Linked DNA regions of Rhinolophus ferrumequinum. The protein of the gene in region 3 purifies or fractionates together with the protein of the main gene of each other region. This does not show direct contact. Links are inferred from orthologs where the notes say so. Each region holds a gene or a part of one and is shown on either strand. Other genes may lie near its edges.

Evidence for each region. Proteins that work in one complex are often made in the same cells at the same time.
Region 1: the proteins of ACTR3B (region 3) and ARPC1B purify together in Homo sapiens (affinity purification with mass spectrometry; 5 studies listed by BioGRID and IntAct, counting the BioPlex papers as one, with this or other methods). This does not show direct contact. The link is inferred for Rhinolophus ferrumequinum from reciprocal best matches to the Homo sapiens genes ACTR3B and ARPC1B.
Region 2: the proteins of ACTR3B (region 3) and ARPC4 purify together in Homo sapiens (affinity purification with mass spectrometry; 5 studies listed by BioGRID and IntAct, counting the BioPlex papers as one, with this or other methods). This does not show direct contact. The link is inferred for Rhinolophus ferrumequinum from reciprocal best matches to the Homo sapiens genes ACTR3B and ARPC4.

Annotation. Positions count from the first base shown.
Region 1 is NC_046290.1:89,608,306-89,615,753, forward strand, and holds the start of ARPC1B (actin-related protein 2/3 complex subunit 1B), read left to right. Parts: upstream 1-4,421; 5' UTR 4,422-4,557; intron 4,558-7,448. UniProt on the Homo sapiens protein: Component of the Arp2/3 complex, a multiprotein complex that mediates actin polymerization upon stimulation by nucleation-promoting factor (NPF).
Region 2 is NC_046300.1:44,117,736-44,124,674, reverse strand, and holds the start of ARPC4 (actin-related protein 2/3 complex subunit 4), read left to right. Parts: upstream 1-3,912; 5' UTR 3,913-4,019; coding exon 4,020-4,022; intron 4,023-6,795; coding exon 6,796-6,914; intron 6,915-6,939. Other genes in the region: TADA3 (transcriptional adapter 3), read right to left, coding at 363-468, 588-838, 2,195-2,401. UniProt on the Homo sapiens protein: Actin-binding component of the Arp2/3 complex, a multiprotein complex that mediates actin polymerization upon stimulation by nucleation-promoting factor (NPF).
Region 3 is NC_046309.1:2,856,211-2,863,550, reverse strand, and holds the start of ACTR3B (actin-related protein 3B), read left to right. Parts: upstream 1-4,312; 5' UTR 4,313-4,416; coding exon 4,417-4,460; intron 4,461-7,340. UniProt on the Homo sapiens protein: Plays a role in the organization of the actin cytoskeleton.

The DNA of each region.
Region 1 (7,448 bases), on a different chromosome or scaffold from region 3:
ATTCAGTAGTTCTTTCCAGAATGTTATGCTGAGAAAACGGGGGTCAGTCTCAGAACCCAGATTAATTGGATGACTCCAGTTTGCCCAACAATCATCATGCAAGTGTTTTAGTTCCCATGTTCCTCCAAGTCTGGAGGCAATGATGTGAAGGCCCAGAGTTCCCCCAGGTACGTGCAGTAGCTGTGGCAATAAAGCTACCCCTGTGGAATAAACAGTACAGATCCGTATATGAGTTCCAAGGTTATGTTGTTTAAGTTGTATGTGTGTAATTTAAATACTGTGTTTCCCCGCAAATAAGACCTAGCCGGACAGTCAGCTCTAATGAGTCTTTTGGAGCAAAAATTAATACAAGACCCAGTTTTATAAGACCAGATATAATATAATAGTATAAGACCGGGGCTTATATTAATTTTTGCTCCAAAAGACACATTAGAGCTGATGGTCCGGCGAGGTCTTGTTTTCGGGGAAACAGTACTAGGAGTGGTAGGTGGAATAATGCCCCCCACCCCCAAAGGTGTCTGTGTCCTAATTCCCAGACCTGTTTACTCTGCAGATGAGATTAAATCAAAGATTTTGAGATCAGAGTATGCTGGGTGAGCCTGGTGGGCCCCTGGGTTGGAGTGTCACAAGGCCATGGAACCCAGGAACCTGGTAGCCTCTGAAAACTGGGAATGACAAGGAAACAGGTTCTCTCTTGTTGCCCGCCCACTGAGGCTGGTTGTGGACTCCCACCTCCAGACCTGTACAAGAATCCATGTGTGGTGTTTGCAGCCACCCTGTTTGCGGAAATGGCTACAGCAGCGCTAGGAAACAAACTGACGTCAGTTCAGAGATGGGAAGGAAACACGGTCTAGAGCAGTGTTTTGCACTGACAGAGCCCATTAGTGGTTGTAAAAATCAATTTTTACATTGGAGGTCATGACTAGCATTTAAAAAATGAAACAGAAAATAACAGATTTTGCATTGCATGTAGTAAGAGTATTGGGGGTTGTACTAGGTCACAATATATACCATTTTTCCCCAAAAATAAGACTGGGTCTTATATTAATTTTTGCTCCAAAAGACGCGTTAGGGCTTATTTTCCGGTTAGGTCTTGTTTTCGGGGAAACAGTATCACTGGGTCATGAGCAAAAAGGTTTGAGAACCACTGGTTCCTGAAGGAAGGGTGCTTTCTCCTTACCTTGATACATTACCATAAGAATAGCTAAGTGCCAGGTGACAAAGTAAGCACTCTGCTAGGCTATAACCGCCTACAGCAACCCTATACTGTGGGAAGTGTTACTGCCACGTTTGATGACAAAACTCCAAGTCCAGAGGGGGGGGTGACAGCTCACGTTGAAACTATGACAATGTCCAGAGCCCAGCAGTTCCTGCCAAACGTGCTCCTATTGGGCAAGGGCAGGGAGTGGAGCTGCTGTAGTGACCGAACCCAGTTCGTTTCGCCAAGCTCAGGATGTCGTTGGAATAGATGGGAGGGGACCCTCTGTACCTTGTGAGGTTTCATTGTACACCTGAGTTTCTCAATTGAACTGACTCACAAAGCCATGTGGCTTGGAAGGGGGTCTGCTACAAGTGCCCCCCCAATTAGGAGGCCCGCCCCTGGAGCAGGGCCGGAGTGTGGAATGCTGAGTGTTCTGGGCCTCAGCCGCGGTGGACATCTGCCCTCGCGGGCTTTGGCTACTACCTCACATGTATGTGTGGCCTGGGGAAGGAGGTACAAGGTTTCTCCTCTTCCTTCCTGCTCCCAGGGATGGGGCGAGGGCAGTCCCTTGATGTCAGGGAGAAAGCTCTATGGTCCCCATTGCGGGTGGGCCTGCATGCTGAGACAGAAGGAGATCATGCTGAGCTCATTACCAACCCTGGTGTCCACTGCCTTGGCTAGCCCACGGCGTCCTGAGTCCAGATGTCTGGAGCTAGGCTGCCCTCTTGTGACCAGGAGACAGTAAGGCCAGTGTGGTGAGGAGAAAGCAGCAGAAAGCCCGCGAACCCTGATGACCTGGAGACATTGCACCAGTGCCCTCCACTGAGTGCCCTCCAAGGTGGCCAACTCTGAAGCCTGGGTGTGTGGCTGCATTTCTCGGGTACCTGAGAAGGCGGAAAAGAAAGGAGTGCAGCATCTCCATCCCATGGCACTGCAGGGGGAAGCAGATTCCAGGAAGAAACAGAAAACTCTCAAGTTCTCAGAACTCCAAATGAAATTCTTCCACCCCCAGTTTCCCCTTGCCCAAGGAGTGGCTTCACTTAGGCTTAGAAAACTTTGTCCCCCAACGGAACCATTTCAGACAACAGCCCTGTCGGTTCCCAGTTTGAGCTGTGCTTCCCCATCCATTGGGGCTTCCTTCCCATAATGGACCACAGTGCGGCCTGTGAGAGGACAGCAATGCTTGTTAGGAGTCAGCCTCACTCTACAGATGCAGAAACCATCTGTAAAGCACTAAAGGAGAGTGACTTGCCTGAAGCTACACAAGTGAAGCTTGGGTTCAGTTTTCTAATTTGTACACTTATTCATTCATCATTCAACAGATGCGCATTCAGTGGCTCCTATGTGCCAGGCGCCGTCCGGACAGGGGAGAGCAGAGTGAGCGATATAAACACGGTTTCTGCTCGCACTAAGCTTAGGAGTCATCTTTTCATCAAAGCAGGCTGCTTCAGTTCAGTTTTCACAGTGAGGAAAAGGGAGTCCTCTGGGGTGCGTATTTGTTAGGATGCTTTCAGTGATGAGTATCAGAAAAACAAACCAGCTTAAAAGTAGTCTCCTTGGCTCACATATCGGAAAGCTCTGGAGGCAGGTTAAGTGCAGGCTGACCAGTCAGAGATTGACCAGGACTCTGGTCGTTTCTGTGGGATTCTCTCCATCTGAGCTCTAACCCAGTCGTCAGGGTTCCCTTGTGGCTGTTCAACTTTAGTGTTCAGATTCATGCAGCTCACTCAAGAGGGGCTTCTTTCCCCTCCCTTGTCATCCAAAGTCCTGGGCTTTGCTTTGACCTGGCCATCTGAAGTCACAAGCCTAGGATAGCACACCAGGAACTGAGTGGGTAGAGCACTCAGGGCCCACACCAGAGGTGGGGTTTAGTCCCACCTGGGCATGTACAAAGCTGTGGAGGGATGGAACAGAAGCCAGGGACACACAGCTGTCCCCCCACAACTTCACCTGTCCCCACAGGAAGGGGGTTGCCGGTACAGACCATCTTAAACTTTTCTAGTTAGACTAAAGCCATCACAGAGTGCCAAGGCTAGATGGGGGGGACCCCGGTAACAGCCCCTCACTGTCTCCTGAGAGCCAGGAAGGCTCAGGATCATACAAATCTTAGCTAAAGTATACTGAGCACTAAATCAGTGCTCGCTCCTGGAGGTGCTCCCCATGTTTGGACACATTTAATCCTCCCAACCACGCTGTAGGAGTGAAATGCAGTGCAACAGGAGCTGGGACCGGGAACAAAGGATCTTGTGGGGAGTCCAGTGGACACATCTAATGGAAAGGGGGTCAAGGACCAAGTGATCTGAGATACTCAGCTGCGTCCTGCAGGATCAACTGAAGTGGGTGAGGTGAGGACAGGGTGGGAAAAGTGTTCTAGGCAGAAAGAACAGTACCTGTCACAGCCCCTACACCCGATAGGCTGGGAATCTAGCCAGGGACCTCCTGAGCCCCTGAAGCCCTCTCCTTCCCCTCTCCCACTGCTGCCTGCTGCTGCCTGGCTGATTTGGGGTGAGATGAGTCAGTCCTAGGAAGAGGGGCCTGACGAATTGAGAGGGTGCAGGGTGTTCACCAGGGCCTCCTTCGTGTGCCAGGCCACCTGGCCACATCTTCATCAATGAGGCAGAGGGTAGAGATGGAAAGATCCCAGGGGCCACTTGAGCCAAGACCCAAATTCAGGTGGCGGCATGGCTGCCAGATATGAAAGAAGTGAAGCAGTCTGCAGTGGAACCAAAGGTCATAAAGTCAGCATTGAGAGAACATGCTGGAACAGCCAGAGTCAGCTGAGGCGCTGGTGTGCACTCCTGACCAGGGCCAGCACCCCAGTTTTGTAGTGAGGATGGGAAGGGTTGGGAGGGCTGGACTGGCTGCCTTGTCGACACCGTACTGCACTTTTGTCGCCCAGCAGGCATCAGTTAGTGAAGTACCCGTGATGGTACCCGTGAGCTGGGGACAGAGGCCTGCAGAGGTTCCCTAAGTTGCTGGGTCACCAGCACCAGCGTGTGAACGTAGAGCCCGTCCTGCTCTCGGTGGGGTGGGGTGGGGGACATGCACACTGCCAGACTCCGGGTACCCGCCGGCTGTGCTCAGGCTGCGCACCCCTTTCTAAGCCTCAGTCTCCCCGTCCATAAAGTAGTGAGGGGCGGTCGTGGATGATTTCTGGGCTCCCTGGGTCGGTGCAGACCCGAAACCCGGAGGGTTGGGCGGGGCCTTGGATTTCCGGACGGTCCCTGGTCCCCGCCCCCATCCCCTTGGGGCTGAGGCTGCGAAGCGCCGCCCCACGCCCACGAGGAAGTGGCTGCGAGTCCCAGAGCCGGTTCGGCGCGTCGACTGCCCAGAGTCCGCTGCCGGGGCGCCCCGAGGTGAGGAGGCGCGGGGGTTTGGTGGCTCGGAGGTGGAGGGCCGGGGGTCTGCCTAGATGTGAGGGGAGTTTGGGTGGATACGGGGATGAGAGGGGCGCGGGGAGGGGAGCCTGAAGGGGAGGAGCGGGGGAAAACCTGCCGGGAGATCTGGGGGCGTCCGGAGGGGAAGGGGGTACCCAGTAGTGAGGGGGTACGCGGGGGCGGAAGCTCCCCAGGAGGTGAGTGGGGAGCGGGCGGCAGGCCGGCCGAAGAGTGGGCAGCGCAGGGCTCCCCGCACCCGGCGCCCTCGGGGCGGCGAGATCCCTGGCCCACGTTTCCCCCTCGTCCCCTCCCTTGCTTCCCCACTTCCCTGACTTTTCCCCACGGTCGGTGTCCCCGTTATTTCAGGCAGCGAGGGCCCCACGCCCAGTCACTTCCCCCAATCCTCCAACCTTCCGGGTTGCTCCAGCGGGAAATGAGCTGGCGCCCCCGCCCCGCCCCTCTCTCCTCCCGGCCGCCCCCTCCCGGCCCCGGGAGCCAGGTCCGAGGCGTCCTGTACCGGCTGAGCTGGACCCGAGCGGATCCGATCCGAGTGGCCCCTCCCCTGCCGGCAGCAGCTGGGAAAACAGCCAGGACACCCAGACGAGGCAGGGCCGGGACCGCGGGCAGTAACTGTAATACAGTAATGAGTAGCGTGAAGCAGCAGGAGAGCTGGAGGCTCTCCCCAGCTTATTCCAGGCTGTCCCCAGGCTCCTCCCGCCGGGCACCCGGCGCGGTGCTGCCCGATGTTTAAGAGCACCCATCACCTGTGAGTCCTCGGGGCCCTAATACGAGTGCCAGCTTCTGCTTTCACTGGCTGATGACCTTAGCAAACCACCTCATCTCTCTGGGCCCCAACTTACTTGCCTTATCTGGAAAATCGGGAACTTTCAAGTTGTGAGACATAAATATGATAATATGTATAAGGAACTTGGCAATATGCCAGGCACGCACAGTATAAGTGTGTGCTGCTATTGTCACTGTTATTATAAGGCTTGCCTATGTTTATCAAAGTGGCTGTCCAGGTGAACCTGTACTCTTAAGATTTGGGGTCAGAATGTGCTGTGCTTTTTAAGAGCTGTGTGACTGAGCAAATCTTGGCTTTTGTGTAAGTCTCAGTTTCCTTCTGTACAAAACAAAGGTTAAAAAAAAACAAACACCAAAAAACTTCTTAGGCTTGCTTTAGGGGTTAAAGAATGTACGTCAACGTCCTGGGTAAATCCTGGGCACTTAGAGATGCCAAGAAAAGTTAGTTTATTACATATGTGTTTGTATGTAATCCACATAGGTTTTTTCCTAATAAATAGTATCCCAATGTGTTAATATCACATGTACTCTTTCCATATCTCTAGTCATCTGGATTTTTTTATCCTGTCACCATTATAAAGAGGATTATTTTGGACATATTTGCTTTTTTAAAAGTCAGTGGCTGTTTTCTTAGCACAAAAATGACTTTATGCCACCAGTGTTAACAATCTTAAATTCCTGTTTGTGTTATTCTGTTCTGTTTGTTCCTACCCAGTTGTTGAGCGTTATCACATTGCTCTTCAGAAAGGCTGAACAAATTATTAATAGCAACAAATGAGAATTTCTCTACAGTCCTGCCAGCATTGAGTTTTGTGTGGCTTTGGTTTTTGTTTTATTTGGATTACTTTAACTGGAGCTTTATGGTGCCTTGTGATCGTTTTCGTTTGTGTTTCTTGACTTTGCCTGCTTTTTAAGACCTTAAGAGCAGATTTGGGGAGAAGGGATTGATTGGCTGGGTTTTTTGGGGTGGCAAGGGCTGTTCTACACATAACAGGAAATTGAGTAACTGCTTAGCAGGCTGCAAAATGGCTCACTAGCAGCTCCCTCTAGCCAAACTCTGAGCTGGGTGGGGACTTCCCTATATGCCTGTGGAGCCGAAATCCTTGCCTCCAGGCAGCTCCTGCCTGGATTAACCTCAAATACAGCCAAACCTCTGGATTCAGGGAAGGCTAGTAAAGCTTGTCTGAAAGGATGAAAAATCCTACAGCCGGTGCCTCATCCAGCCCCAGCCTTTTTTGAACGGAGATGTGAAGAAGCATTGTATGAGGGCACCAGCCAGTACAATGAACGCAGCACTGTAAGGAAGGAGTGCTGAGGCATGAGACCCTTGGCCGGGCAGCCTGAGGCTTCGCCTAGCTTGCTTTGCTTTGGAGAGGAGCTATATTCTCCCTGAATCCTCAGAGGACCCTCTAGATTGCAGGTTTCCAGGATTTTCTAATCATTGACCCTATCAGGAAAAAAATTTGAGCACATGCTCCCCAGCAAATATTTACAAATTTCATCCATATGCCACTGAAGTAATATGGCATATCCGTTATAGAACATCCCCTAAGACAGATATGAAAGAAAGGATGTGAATCGTTCATTCAGCCACATTCAAGAAATATTTATTGAGCATCTACTATGTGCCAGGTACTATAATTGGTGGTGGGGATACATCAGTGAACAAATACCCCTGTCCCCCTGGGGCTTACGTACATACCCCAGGGTGTCGTCTTTGGCACCCCTTGATGGAGACCCACACCCCACTTTGAAGAGCTATACCCCCTCCCAACCCTCATGCCACGCTTCTCTGCCCTCAAACCCCCAGCTGTGGATGCTTCCCCAGTCTGGAAAGTACTGCTGGGACCACAGAAAGATGCTGGCTCCAGTCTAGGGGGATAGGGAATCTCTCAGAGTTTGGCCGATGCTCGCCCAGCCTCACTCAGTTTCAGGAGTGATGGGAGACACTGAGCACTTCATGTGAATCCCACGTCCCAACGCCATCCTCAGGTCCCCCTCCTGTCTGTCTTCAACGGTCACATGGGCCCACAGAATGCTGGCTCACAGGGCCATGGTGACAAGTG
Region 2 (6,939 bases), on a different chromosome or scaffold from region 3:
TAAACTTATACATATTAAAGAAAGACAAAGAAAGGCCCCTCTGGAGGCAGGAAAGCATTAAGACGCTGTTTGGGTGAAAGCTGATGAAGTCTTAAACCAAAGTAGAGGGGATGGAGATGTGGGGTCAAGGGGGGACCTCACTGAAATTGAAGCCTTAGGATGGATGTGGTGACCGTTTGGATGGGGCAGAAGGGAGACAATGCAAGGAGAAAGAATGGATGTCTGGGTGGCTTGATGGGGCAGAGAGGAGTCTGGACAGGGTAGGGGAAGTAAGATGACATATGTCTTTGGGATCTTTGATTCTGAGGCACCTTTCAGCCCTCTTGTTCTCCATCATGTCTATCGAGGCTCAGGGTTTCTACCTTGTAATGTTCAGCCTCGTCTTCTGGGGGTTTCAGTAGCTCTTCTAGTGTGCGGACCTCCTCGCTGGTGATGTCAGCGCAGTAAGGCTCCACTGAAGCCCAGAACCTGCAGGGAGAAGCAGATCCTAAGTGGGCACTCCGTGCCCCACCAGCCTCAGCCCTGGGCCCCTCCACAGTCTCCACGGCCCGGATCCCAAGGCCCTTCTATGTTTTATGGCCCAGAACCTGTTGGGGGCATCATTCTTGGGAATCCGAGGCACATCAATTGGGTCATCAGTGAATTCATATTCCTGGATCTTGGGCTGAAGGTTTTTGGATTTGGGTCGCCCGGGGCCAGGGCCTGGCCCATGCCCTGCCTTCCCTTCCAGTTTCTGCTTCTTGGGCTTCCCATGTTTGGGGGGAGCCCCAAGCTCATGGTCTCGACCCAGCTTCAGGAATCGACGGTCACCTTTCTTATCCTGCCAGTCAGTGAGGATCTGAAATTCAGAGAGACTGTTAATGAGGGAGGGAAGGGAAGACAGAGGACAACTGTTTCCCCCAGTGAAGAATCAGGATCTAGAACTTGAGGAGGCGCTAAAGTCTTTCCCCACCCCCTTTTTATTTAGCAGACTCCTACTCATCCTTTAAAACCCAGCTCCTTTTCTGTGTCCATCTTACAGGATTTTACTCAGATACTTCTCATCATTCCATTCATTTTGTCTGTATTCTGATTCACCTCGGTGGTGTTTAGTAGCAAGGCCAAACAAGTGATCACACCCCAGTGCATGCTAGGTCTGGGAAAATATGCTGGTGGAAACTTTTTGGTGAAGGCAAGCAAGCCTCCCAGCAAACCTTCATTTTGAAAGTCACAACTGGGAAGCCTTCTTCACATCAGTTACCTGATGCTTAGACACTAAAATACAACGGGTTGTGCCACAACCCTGTTCAAAAAGCTTCAGTGGATTCTCAGGGACCACAAGTCAACGCTCTTCATACTTCAAAGTCCAGTTGAAATGGCATCTTCTTCCTCTATGAGTCCCTGGCACTTTGCACCTTCACTGTAGGCCCAAACATCTTGTTTGGACATACTAAAATGCACAGCATACTTTATCTTTTTGACTAGATTATAAGCTGCTGGAGACCAGGAAGCTCATCTTAACCAGTTGTCCCCCAGGATCTGGCATAGCACCTGGCACACAGGCCCCAGAGGATGTTTATGCAGTGAAGAGAGATGAGAGTAGTGCCAATGACTAACATTTAAAATGCTGACTTAGTGTCAGAAACTGGGCTCAGACTTCGCAAAAAAAAACCGAAACAAAAAACCTCTCTTAATCCTCACAAATCCTCTTTGGTACGTCCTATTATTCGGCACAGTTTGCAGACAGGAAACATGCTCAGAAATAGGAAGTAATCTTCCCAAAGTCACAGAGCTAGGAAACTAACACTAACTAGTGCTTAGTCCAGGATTCAAATCCTCTCCTCATTCCAGTTCCCCTATTCCCCCTAACCATAACACATCACCTGGTACTTGTCTAACCAGCCCCCCACCACTTATAGTTAGCAAACTCCCTGAAGGCCAGAATTGTCTTAATTATCTTTCTCTAATGACTTGCACAGGACCCAGAACATAAGGGGTGGGTCGGGGGCGGGAGGGCTGTGTTGTCAATAAATGCTTAGAAATCTTGCAGTTTATGGAGATCACACATGTTCTTGCTTATTTTGTGTCCCTAGAACCCAATTTGTCCCCCCTGCAACCTCCTGTACCCCAGGCCTTAGCAGATGGGACGAACTCAATGAGCCATCCCATAACTTATCAGTCTACCCCTGGTGACGTCGTCTCTGTAGGGTATCACCTGAGTTTCGGCCTCCAGCACCCGCAGGCGCCGGCTGGCAGAGGAAAGCAGGGTTTCAAGCTCTAACTGCAGAGTGTCCAGCTCCTCAATGCCGATGCCATCATCCTCAGAGCGGGCCAGCACTGCTGTGTAGCGTGGACAGACTTTCAGGTGGTCCACAGACTTGAAGTCGTGGAACTGCAAGGGGCAGTCCTTCAGCTCACTCATGGCCCAGGATACCCTGCGGAGCTGAAAAGGAGAGGGACATTGATGGGAGGTAAAGTGGCACAAGGAAAGCCCAAGGGTTCCCTCCATCCAGGAACAGCCTCAAGGAGAAAGCCCGACTTCAGTACCCTATTGACAAGACTGATGGCACTGCTATTACTCCGAGAGCACCCACTGTGCACCAAGCAAGGTGCAGACATCTTACCAGCTTTTCACTGATTCCTCACCCTCTGAGCAGGGACCATGGTGCTCTTCATTTTACAGATAAGGAAACTGAGACTTTGTAAGGGTGGGTACATGCCCAAGCTTACCAAGACTTTGAATCCAGGTATTTCTGAGTCTGAGCCCCTCACTACCATGATACACTATGCCACGTCTTCCTGATGCTCTTTTCTTTTGTTGTTCTTCTCGTGAGTTCTGCTAAGCCTCTGAGCTCCAAGCATCCCATTCTCAATTGTGCCTCCCTGCTTCACCTTGTCTCACTCCTTCCCACTTTGCCGGTTATTTTTGCCCGACAGTGGTTAAGAATGTGATATGGTAAGCCAGACATACCTGGGTCCAAGCCCAAACTTTGCCGTTCTCTATGTATGTGGCCCTGAATATGCCATTTAACTTTCCTGAGTCTCGGTTTTTCCAACTGCAAAATGGGGACAAAGTAGTGTGGGTCTGTTTCCCCATAAGAAGTCTGAATCTGTAAAATGGGGATAATAATGGTACCTACCTCCCCCGGATGTTCTGAGGATTAAAAGATGATGCTCGTCAAGAGCCCAGTTCAGTGCCTGGCACAGAAGTGGGACTGCTTAACGGCTGGCTCCACCCGTGGGTCGCCCCAATGCCCCGCCTTCAGGGTCCCCGTCCACTCGAGACCCCTAACGCGGCTCCTGCCCCCTCTACCTCCACACTCTGGCCTCCTACGGCCCCCGGGCCGCGAGAGGGGGTGGGGAGTTCCGGTTGGTCGGATCTACCGCTCGCAACTGGCTATGGGCGGGGCCCCTGCAGTTGACGCGGGGGCGGAGAAACGCGAGGGAGAGCTCACGGTGCCTTGCGGGGGAGGGTTTGCGGGCCGTGAGCTGGACCACTGCAATTGGGGTGGGGGTTACGCCGCGGGTACCCGAGGGAACAGCCAAGGGCTGGAGGGCGGGGCTCGGCAGCCGGGTTTTCGGTCAGGCATTTAGTTCCGCCGAGCCCCAGAGGCAGCCGGTAGGAGGGGCTCGGGGGAAGGATGGGGGCGCAGAACCGGAAGGAACGCAGGGCTCCTCCGCCTCGCCTTGTCCAAATATGGTGCCCAACCTTCGGCCGGGCGGCACCATTGCATGACTATGGGGAAAGAAAGCGGCAAATAGGACAAGAAAGCCAAAGTCACAAGCGAGAGCTGCATGGATAACGGGAGAAGCTTGAGTACCGACCTGAAATTGCAGCAGTCTAAAGATACCAAGGCAGTCCTAGCGGGAAAACTTCCAAGGGACCCAGCGTTCCGAGGCTCTCCTCACCCTGCTCGGAGCACAGATGGTACTGTCCGGAAGTCCGGGCGGAGACTGCGGCTGCGCTTCTCGCGAAAGGGCAGGCGTCGCGGGCCTGGCCACTTCCGTACTTCCGCTTTCCGGCCCAGCCAGCGCCCGCGATGGTGAGAGAGCCGGGCCCCGGGCCAGGGACCCCCCCCCCCATTCTGTCTCAGAGTTGTGGGTCTGGGGGAGATACGGCTTTGCAGCGGAGAGGCCTGGGGCCGAGGGATGCTGGGGAGTTGGGGGCACGATGAGGCTCGGAGAAAGAAGGCGGGGTGGGGGTCGAAGGGAGGAAGGGGCGAGCGGGGAACGCCCTCGTAAGAAGTAGGCATGGTGACTTCACAGTCTGTCTTTGGAGACAGGTAGGGAATACCTGAGGCATGGAGGAAGCCGGAAGTGAGACCTCCTAGGCTCGTAGTAGCTAGCGCTCAGGTGGTAGGGCTACCTCCCCACCCGGAATAGAACTTCACTAAATGCACTGCTCTGTTTTCTCCTGCCCGCCAGACTCTCTAGTTTCCCCAGGGAAGCGTCTACACTTCCATATCCCACTCTTCTCCTTACCCCCTACCTTGATTCTACCGTACTGAAGGATTTCTTAAGCTGCCTCCACCCGAGCCCCTTCCTGGTCAGAACAAAAACGTTGTTGCCTTACTGTAAGATCTGATACTGCTGATCTCTCTCCCTGGAAATCCTCCTGTTTGATAAATGTGTACGTTCCTGGGAGTAATGTACCTGTCTAGTCCCTTGGCTTTGATGACCTTGTGTATTCTGGTGTCTCCCAAGGTTTGCCTGGATATCTTGAAGATACTTTGACATTAAACCTCCAGATCAAAACTCCTCTTTTCTCCTAAACTCGCTCTTCCTTCTTTGTTTCTTAAATTGGCCATACCTCTTGATTTTTTAAAAATCAGGTTTATTGAGGTATTGCATGAGACTGTTTTATTTGTGAAAGGGCAGGTGTCATGGGGCTGGCCACCTAAAATTCACCCTTTTCCGGTTTATCATCTATGAATTTTGACACACACAATCACGTAACCACTACCATCAAGGCACAGAACATTCCCATCACCTCAAAATGTTCCCGCCAGTCCCTTTGTAATCAGGCCTCCTCCTCTTTCCCCGACCCCAGGCAACCACTGATTTTAACCCCCCAATAATTTTGCCTTTTCCATATTGTAATATAAATGGAATTGTCAGTATGTAGGCTTTTGAATGTGGCTTCTTACCATAGTGCATTTGAGATTCATCCGTGTTGTATCAGTAGTTACTCCTTTTCATTTCTGAGTAGTATTTAATTGTATCAATGGAGCGTAGTTTGTTGGGAGGTGTTTTAATTCCATGATTATCTACATCTTACGTTATAGTCTAACCATGTTGTAGTCTAACCGCTGTGATACTTATGTTATAGTCTAATCGCTGGCATACTTATGTTACAGTCTAACTGCTGTGATACTTATGTTACAGTTGAATTGCTCTGATACTTATGTTATAGTCGAACTGCTGTGCTTTTCCTCTCTAAGGCCCCAGTCTAGGCTCTCATCAGTACTCCTTGAATAACTCTCTCTGCCTTATGTCTTACTTCCCTCTCCAATCCATTCTCCACAGAGCCCCCCTGCAGCTGTGGTCCTATAACTTCCCCCTCAGAAAGTCCCAGCAGTTCTTTACCACCTTAAAAGAAAAGCTAAACTCAGTAGCCTGGCATTTGAGATTCCCCATGAATCTCCAGACTACCACTGCAGCCTTGTTTACTAAATCTAAAATATGTTTCCTACAGCAACATTGTACTCATTATTACTTCTGGAACTCTTAATGCCCTTTTGTGTTAATCCTAACCTTGCTTAAGTTACAGCTTTCATTCATTCATTTATTCTACAGAAAATGAATGACACTATATAGGTTAGGTACTAACTGAGCTAGGAGCAGGATATGTAGATTTGAATAAAATAGACGCGGTCTATTGACCCTGAGGCTTGCAGTCTAGTGAAAGAGAAATCGCTTTACTAAAGATGTTTGAAGGATGTATCATTGTAAATTACAAGAACTGTTACTAAGGGGAAGTCAAGAAAGACTTCTCTGAGGAAGGAAGAGGCTGTCCCTGAATAAACCAAGATCTGAAGGATGACTTAGGCGACAAGAGGGTAGAAAAGCCTGCAGATAGATAGTTCAGCAAGTGTGAAACTCTGAGGGGAAAAAGAACTTGGCGAATGTAAGGAAATGAAGATGAGTTAGAGTAGCTAGAAGCTGATCCTTCTAGTGGGAATGCCCTTACTCTTTTTTTCTCATTCTAAAGTACTCCTAATTGTATTTCCATCTTCAAATCAAAGCCAATTGCTTCTGCAAATATAACTTGTAAATCTAATTCAGTTATTCTTCTTTGTATCATAGTCTCTCCCCGCATTGAGCTGTTTAAGGGTAGAGATGGTCTTAATCATTGAATTCCCAGCCCCTAGCTCAGTGCCTGGCACATAGTAGATTTATCCATTTGTTGGCTCAAAAGACAGATTGAGGACAATCATTCATTTACCTGTATGCTTCTAGACCGGAGTTTCTCAACCTCGGCACTATTTGGGGCTGAACAACTCTTTGTTGTGCATTGTAGAAGGTTTAGCAGTTTGCCCAGCCTCTTTCTACTCAATGCCAGTAGCACCCCCATCTCAAGTCATGTCGGTAAAAAATGTTTTAACATTGCCGAATGTCCCCTGGCAGGCAGAATGGTCCCCTGTTGAGAACCACTGCTCCAGACTTAGACTGGAAGGCACCTTGAAGGCTTAGTCTGTTCTTCGGTGTCTGAGAATCCAGCACCCTCAGTACTGCCTGGCTCCTGTGTAGCTGGAGCAGGGGACCAGTGTGTTTGGTGAGACAGATTCTGATCCTCCTTTGGGGTTTTTCCTACAGACTGCCACTCTCCGCCCCTACCTGAGTGCCGTGCGGGCCACACTGCAGGCTGCCCTCTGCCTGGAGAATTTCTCCTCCCAGGTCGTGGAACGACACAACAAGCCGGAGGTGGAAGTCAGGTAGGGAAGGAAAAGTTCAGGGTAG
Region 3 (7,340 bases):
GGGAGCAGATCACAGAGGACCTCGAATGTCATAAGCAGGGTTGGGATCAAATTCTGTAATAATAGAGAGTCTCTCTGAAGGTTTGGGGAAAGTCCCTGAAGGTTTGGGGGAAGGAGGCTGACATGATGTACACACATTCTCTGTTTTGGCAGACACCTCTCAGAGCAGCACTGCTTGCCCCAGAGAAGTCTCAGACAGGCCAAAGCCTGGAGCCAGGGTGGCTGATGGACAGATATGCAGCAGTTCAGTTAAGAGCAGCAGGAAGACAAAAAGCAGGTCTACAGACAAGGGGAGTGGTGGGATGGGGTGAACAGGACGTGGCAGCTGAGTGGTACAGGACACGAGGCCAGAGAGGAGGGGGCGTCCAGGCCAGTGATCGCCCGCCATGGGGGAGGCAGAAACAGAGGACTGTTGATCTGAAGATGGTCAGGTCAACTTACCCACCTTGTGGTTTCGGGTCTGTTACCACCTCTGACACAGTCACCACGGTCTGGCCAATCGGCTGCAGCTGGGACCATTTTCTACCACTCCTGCCAAGACCCCTGGGAGGTCCATTGAGTGCAGTGACAGGCCCTTCCTCTTAAAGGAGAATGCCAGCTACTTTCAAAGGCATGCGGCACTCATTTTTGGGGACTCCTTTCTCTATTTGCATCCTATGGCAACAGAGAACACCCAGATCGCGCTTGGCTCCAGCTCTGTGATTCAAGATTCACAGAGCGGCTGGGTGGGCCGTTTCTGAAGACAGCCTTTCGTTTTGTGTGTTCTTTTTCCTTTTTGGCCCAGCGCAACCAGTTAAGTGCAGGACATTAGGATCACATTGTCCCAGCGCTCACGGACTAAACCCCATTCCATGGACGATCTCCAAGCCCTGATTATTTTATAAAGTAGTCCTCATAGGCATCAAAATGCATCAAAAGGTGTTTACTGAAAGTTCGGCTGAGAGTGGTGCTGGGTTGTGCAGCACTAAGGATAGTAGCTAAGAAAAAGTCACCTCGATGGCCAGAAGAGATGCTGGGTCCTGTACAGGAAGTGTTCTGGTTTCCACGTTTCTGCCTGTTGGGAGGGGAGAGTAGACGGCCATTGTTGGGTAGAAGCACAGTAAAGAGATGCCTTGCTAAAGGAAGCCAACTCAAATGTGCCTCTTGTTCCAAGGAGGGAGAATTTTGCGCAATATATGGGAGGGGGCCAAGCTCCCTTAGCAATGTAATTAATGGCGACTGTACTTACCGTGCTTCTCTCTGGCTGTTCTGCTCTAAGGCACTTGTCAGTGATGCCACCAGTCTCTGATCGATAGGAGTTTACGACCTAAGAAGAATATCACAGAAGAATACGTTGTACCATACAGAAGAACAGCACAAAAAGACAAAAAACGGTAAGAACACTAACACAGGAATGATACATAATATCCACTTGTATTTGCTTAAAATATTCAAGATACCAGATAAAAAAAGCACGTAATAGCAAGTGTGATGTGTAATTGAGAGGTTTAAAGATTGCCTAAAGACTTTCATTTGTTCAATAGCTATTCCTTGAGTGGCTACAGAGAGGCCAGGCAGTGCCCGATGAAGATAAAAAATGTATCCAACAGTTGTACTCTTAGACAGTTCTCATCTTAGTAGACAGTTCTACGCTTCTCCTGGGGTACTGGGGTGATGGAAGTGTGACCATTATGATGCCACCCAATAAGTACAAACGTGGAAGGATTCGCTGGCTCTCTCGGAGCAGAGGAGAGTGACAGTCTTTTGTGAAACTGAGGGACACCTTCACAGAGGTGGCAAAACTCCAGCAGGGGGAAGAGGAAGGTTTGTTTAAACGACAGTTCCAAGCAGAGGCTAGAGGAGTGAAAGGGCATAGAATGAGTGGGAGAAAATGGTTTAAGTAGGAAAATTATGAGTGAGGCAGAAACTATTGGCTGTCATTCCCCTTCCTGCTGATCAAACCCGACTCCAGTCAGGTACTGGCAGCCATATGCTTCAGAGGACACAAGACCCCCGTCCAGCCCGAGGGGGTCACCCTTCATAGTCTAAGCTGATCACAGTACCTCGGTTCCCTTTACCAATGGCTGCTGGTGTTATGAGGTGAACTGTCCCCGAGAAAGACATGTTAAAATCCTAAAACCTGGTATAATAAATGGGATCTGATCTGGTCTTTCTAGGCCTTTGCAGCTGTATTAAATTAAGATGAGGTCATTAAGGTAGCCCTCAATCCAGTAGGACTAGTATCCTTATAAGAAGAGGAGAACGCCACATGAATGCAGACATATGAGCTGGGAGAATAGCCTGTGACGTTGGAAACTGAGATCGGAGCGATGCACCTACCCGCCAACGAACGACAAGGATTATGGACAACCTGCAGAACCTGGGAGAGAGGCATTGTCCCCTGGGGCCTGCAGAGAGGGCAGGGCCCTGCGCACACCTTGATTTTGGCCTTCTACTCTCCAGACCTCTGAGATAGTAAGTGCCATAGTTTAAAGCCGCCCAGTTTGTAGGTAATTGTTACAATTGTTACATTTGCTTTGTTACAGCAGCCCCTATTGGAGCCAGGTGAATGGAGCCAGGTGAATAAGCTAGGGCCTTCTGGGAAAGTTTCCTTCCTCTCTCTCTTAGAAAGGAATCTGACGGGGCATTTCTCCCCCATTTTTGCCCATTGCAGTTGGTGTATGGAGCAGCTGTTGCAGCCATCTCACATCGCCAAGGGGGTAAGTCTGAGGACAACGGCCAATGTGCAAACCTGGTAGAACAAAACGCACAGGCCCACACTGATGACACCTGTGGTTGAGTTACCCTGGAATTTCTGGATTTCCGATCCTATGACATAATAACATTTGCTCATTCCTTGGGCTACCTTAAGTTTTCTGTTACCTGCCTTTGAAAACATCTTAACTGATACCTCTAAAGTTAGGGGTGTCCAGAGGAAGGAATGGAAGTCAGGAAATCTTTTATTTCCTACCAGCTTCTGACCATGGCCAGCACTTCCAATACGTCGTAGGCAGTGGGGACACTCCCCCAAAGGGACTTTCTTTATAATTAGCCCGTCCCAAGTCCCTATAAAGGCTTCTTACCTGGTGAAGTGGGCTGGGCCACCTATGAGTCTCGAGGTCCTCCTGGCCTTTGTACATGTTTCCCACCCAGAGACACGCAACTGCCCCACACTGTCCACCAGGGAGCTCTTCTCTACCCACTCACTGCGGTTCAGCTCAGAGCCCATGGCTTTGGGAAGGCTCCACTGACTGCCATGTCAGGGTTAGGGGCTCTGTGAGTGGTTTTCTGGGTACCCTGGGCTTGGCCATCCAGGCATCACCACACTAGTGCAACTGCCTGTAGACTGTTGCTTTCTCTCACTAGATTCTGACACGTTGAGTATGTATCCTGCTCACCATTTCATGCCCCATCTAACACAAGGCCTTTACTTCTTCTAGGGAAAAAAAAACCACAATGCTTTTAATACTACATAGTTCAGTTACATGAAATGACATCTCCAGAAAGCTCCTACAGGTTAACGTCAAGAATTTATGGAAAAAAAGAATTTACGAGAGGACACACAGCAGGAAGCAAGTGGGACTTTTAGTACCTTTATGACGTGGTAGGTGCTTGACCACTCTGGTCCCTGGTCTCAGTAAGAACTTTGGGATGATTCCATCTTTGATACTTGAAAAGATTTTCCCCGAATATAATGACCTTGATGTGGTGTTAATTCAATCTAAGGACATTCATTCCTTCATGCTGGCCATGCCTTTGTTTTGGATATTTCCTTCTGTTACATAACTTCTGCAGTGTTCTGCTAGGTGTAAGTCTACCAGAGTGTCTTTTCTCTGTATGGCGACGTTTATTCATTCATTCAACAAACATTTGGGTGCTTACCATGTATGCACCAAGTCCCCTGCATACCAGTGCAGTCCTGGGTCACCAATGGTAAGCAAACACGAGCTCTAACCTAGGGGAGCCTATAGTCCAGTGAGGGGACAGACGACAAATAAATAGCGAAGGAAAGCAATAGATTCCTGAGATACAGAGTAAGGTGCGAGGGGACAACTTCCCCGAGGTGACATTCGAGCCCAGACTTACAGGATGAGAAGGAACCAGGGAGACTTACAGATGAGGAGCCAGGCCTCGGAAACCCGGTCACGTTCACGGTAAGTCAGTTAAAAATAGTCCCCAATCTCTTCAAGGTTGGGCGTGTGGGCAAGGAAGCCGCGCCGCCAGCACTAAAGATGGCGGGGCGGGGGCGGGGCCTGGAGTGCCCGCGCCGTGATTGGCCGGATGGAGTGGCGTCACGTGGGCGGCCGCCGAGCATCCGGGCTCCCGCGGCGGCGCTGCGGAGGCTCCCGGGAGCCGGCTGCGCGGGGCAAGCGCGGCGAGCGGACGGCGGCGGGGCCTCCGGGGCCGTCGCGTGGGCCTAGCGGCGCGCGTGCCGAGCATGGCGGGCTGCCTGCCTCCCTGCGTGGTGGACTGCGGCACCGGGTAAGAGCCGCTGGCGCCCAGCCCGCTCCCGCCCCGGCGCCAGGCACCTGCCCCGCGCCCGCCCTCGCTCACCTGGAGGCCGAGCTGCGCCCGCGCGGCTCCCCGTCCCCGCCCCGCTCCTCTAGAGCCGGCAGCGCCGCGCGCCCCGGCCCCTCACCTTGACCGGGGACAGTCGAGGCAGACGTCCCCCGGCTCGCTCGCCTCCCGCACCGCCCTCGCGCCGGGCGGGCGCCCCCTGGCCTCAGCCTCCCGGGGAGGCCGGCGTCCGGCGGGTCGCTGCAGGCGCTGCACGTCGTGTGCCTCCCGCCCACCTCCCGGGGCCCTCGCCGGGCCCCCGCGTGCGTGCCGTGTCCGCCGGCTGAGGGTTCTCGCCCACCGACTTGGGGAGCTTTTCCCATCGTGACCAACTTGACACCTTTTTTGCAGCGCACTCTGCTCTCTCCCGGGACTGAATGGCTCACCCAGGCGACGCCCTCGCTTTAGTCGGTGTAGATTTGCCTTTTCGCTTAAAAAGGTTAAAAAAAAGGGTGGGGGGGGGGAGGGCCCCATTTTGAAACACAGAAAGTTTACATTGGGGAAAGCCTATTTGTGGTGTAGTTTTATTGTCCCTTTACTGTCTGGGTGTGATTTGCTTCTTTTGACGTTAAGATGTGCAGAAGAGACCGTTGGAAATGCCCTGTGCTTGCCGTGGTCCACGCTTAGCTGGTCTTGCGAAGGTGCTTACGGAGCCCGTCTCGCCGGTCGTTTGGAAATGCAAGGTTGCCTGCTTGCTTTCTAGATGAAGTACTGGTTAAAATAGCCTAGAAGTGATGTAGCCTCTTAAAGAGTTTTCAAGACGGGGTTGTAATCACTTCTGTCACAAAATGTTCCATGGCACGTTGCTCTCAGCCTTGATTCTTTTCTATGGAGAAACGCAGTTGGTTTGGTTTCCTTGACAACCTTGTGGGGGTGTCTTCTTTAGTTTGCTGCAGTCCATCTCCTACTGATTCTTTTTTCCTTTTGCTGCTGAAGCCACCGGTAGTGGTTACAGGCTGGAAAAAACACCCACAAAAATAAACTGCCTCTTTGCCTCTATACTAAGCTTTTTGAAATACGCACTGTACCAGAAGTCGTTTTGCTACCCAACATACAAGCCCAAATCAGCGCTGGTATTAACACCCCCAATTGTTAACTCCCTTACGCATCCCCTCCCACAAGCTAGTGTTCACCCCACACCCACTTGAGGTCTGCTTGTGTCAAGACTGAAGGCAACAGGTAAAAGTATTTTTCATTCCCAAAATGATTTTTGCTTTTGTATTTCTGGTCTTGTCAAACTGTTGGAATACAAGGCATGTCTTGGCGATAGGAACACAATAATGCTCACAGAGTTTGTCACCTTTAATATTAGTAAGCCGAGGGCCTAACTCATCATTCTTGCTATAAATATCCAAAATGGGGTGCCCAGTTTTGACCTTCAGAGGTACGTGATAAGAGTAACTTTGCTCTGTCCGAGGTGTAACTTCAGTATGTCATTGTTTTATGGCCCCAAGTCATGTTCTTGTCTCCAAGCTGCCATAGGCTTTGGTGTCAACTTAGAAACAGTGGCACAGAATCTTCCCAGTGGGTCTCACGTGGACATACTCTGTCATGGCAACAACTGGTCACTCATGAAGTCCTAGTGTCCAGTGTATGGCCAGAAGGAGCAGCCTGGAAGAGCCTTAATTTACTGAGAGCATATAAGTAGTTCTTACATTTCCCGGAGAGTTAAAATGGTTTTTGGATTGACTTTTACCTCAAAATAGGATAAAAAGGGGTGACATGCAGATAAAAGCAACCACAGCCAAGGAGAAGAGTGGGCCTGGGGAGTCCCCGAAGCTGTGGGCCGGTGGCTGCTGTAGTTTAGCCTCACATTTGGCCTTCGTCTTCCTGTCTGACAAAATTGTAAGAGCCATCAGCAGTTGTGTAATTCCTGTCATCAGGAAGGGAGAAAAAGGCCCGTTACTCTGGTGAAAGAGCTTTGTGTAGTACTGAATTCTAGAATAAAAATTCACACTGAACTATACATGGTAGACACTAATGATTTATTGGACAGCGTGCTAAAGAGTATTTGTTAGAGCAAAATACATTCCATCCTGGTAGCCTAGCATCCTCTAATAAACCCTGAGACCAGCTCTAACCTACTGAAAAGCTGCAAGAAGTGTACCAAAAAACTATTTGTTCATCCAGTTTCACCAACTATTAACATTTGCTTTATCATTTTCTGTATATCTATATGTATTATTATTTTTCTGAACTGTTTAAGTGTGGTTTTATACCAAAATACTTCAGTGTATACTTTCTGAGAACAAAGAGCTCTCACACAATCACAGGCGAAAGATCGAAATCAGATTTGACATCGTGCGGTAGTGTTCTCTTGTACGCAGTCTGGACTGACACAAATGGCCCCATTTATGTCTTACGGATTCTCACCTCTGCTCCCTCATCTAGCACCACAGACTGTGTTTGCTTGTCATCACGTCTTTGTAGTCTCATTTAACTGGACCAGTTCCTTAGCCTTTTTCTGTCTTTCAAGACATTGACATTTTTGGCAGCCAGTTGTTATGGATAATGTCCCTCAATTTAGGCTCATCGGTGCTTCCTTGTGATAGATATAGGTTATGCATTTTTGTCAGGAATGCCACAGAAGTGACATCAATCCTCCTTAGTGCATCCCGTCAGAAGGCATGTTCTCCCCTCAGTTTTATTGAGATGTAATTGACATGGAACATTGTGTAAGTTTAAGGTATACAATGTGTTGATTTGATACATTTATATGCAAAATGGTTACACATAGTGTCAAGCTAACACTTCCATCACGACACATAATTACTGGTTCTTTTTTGTGGTGAGAACATTTAAGAT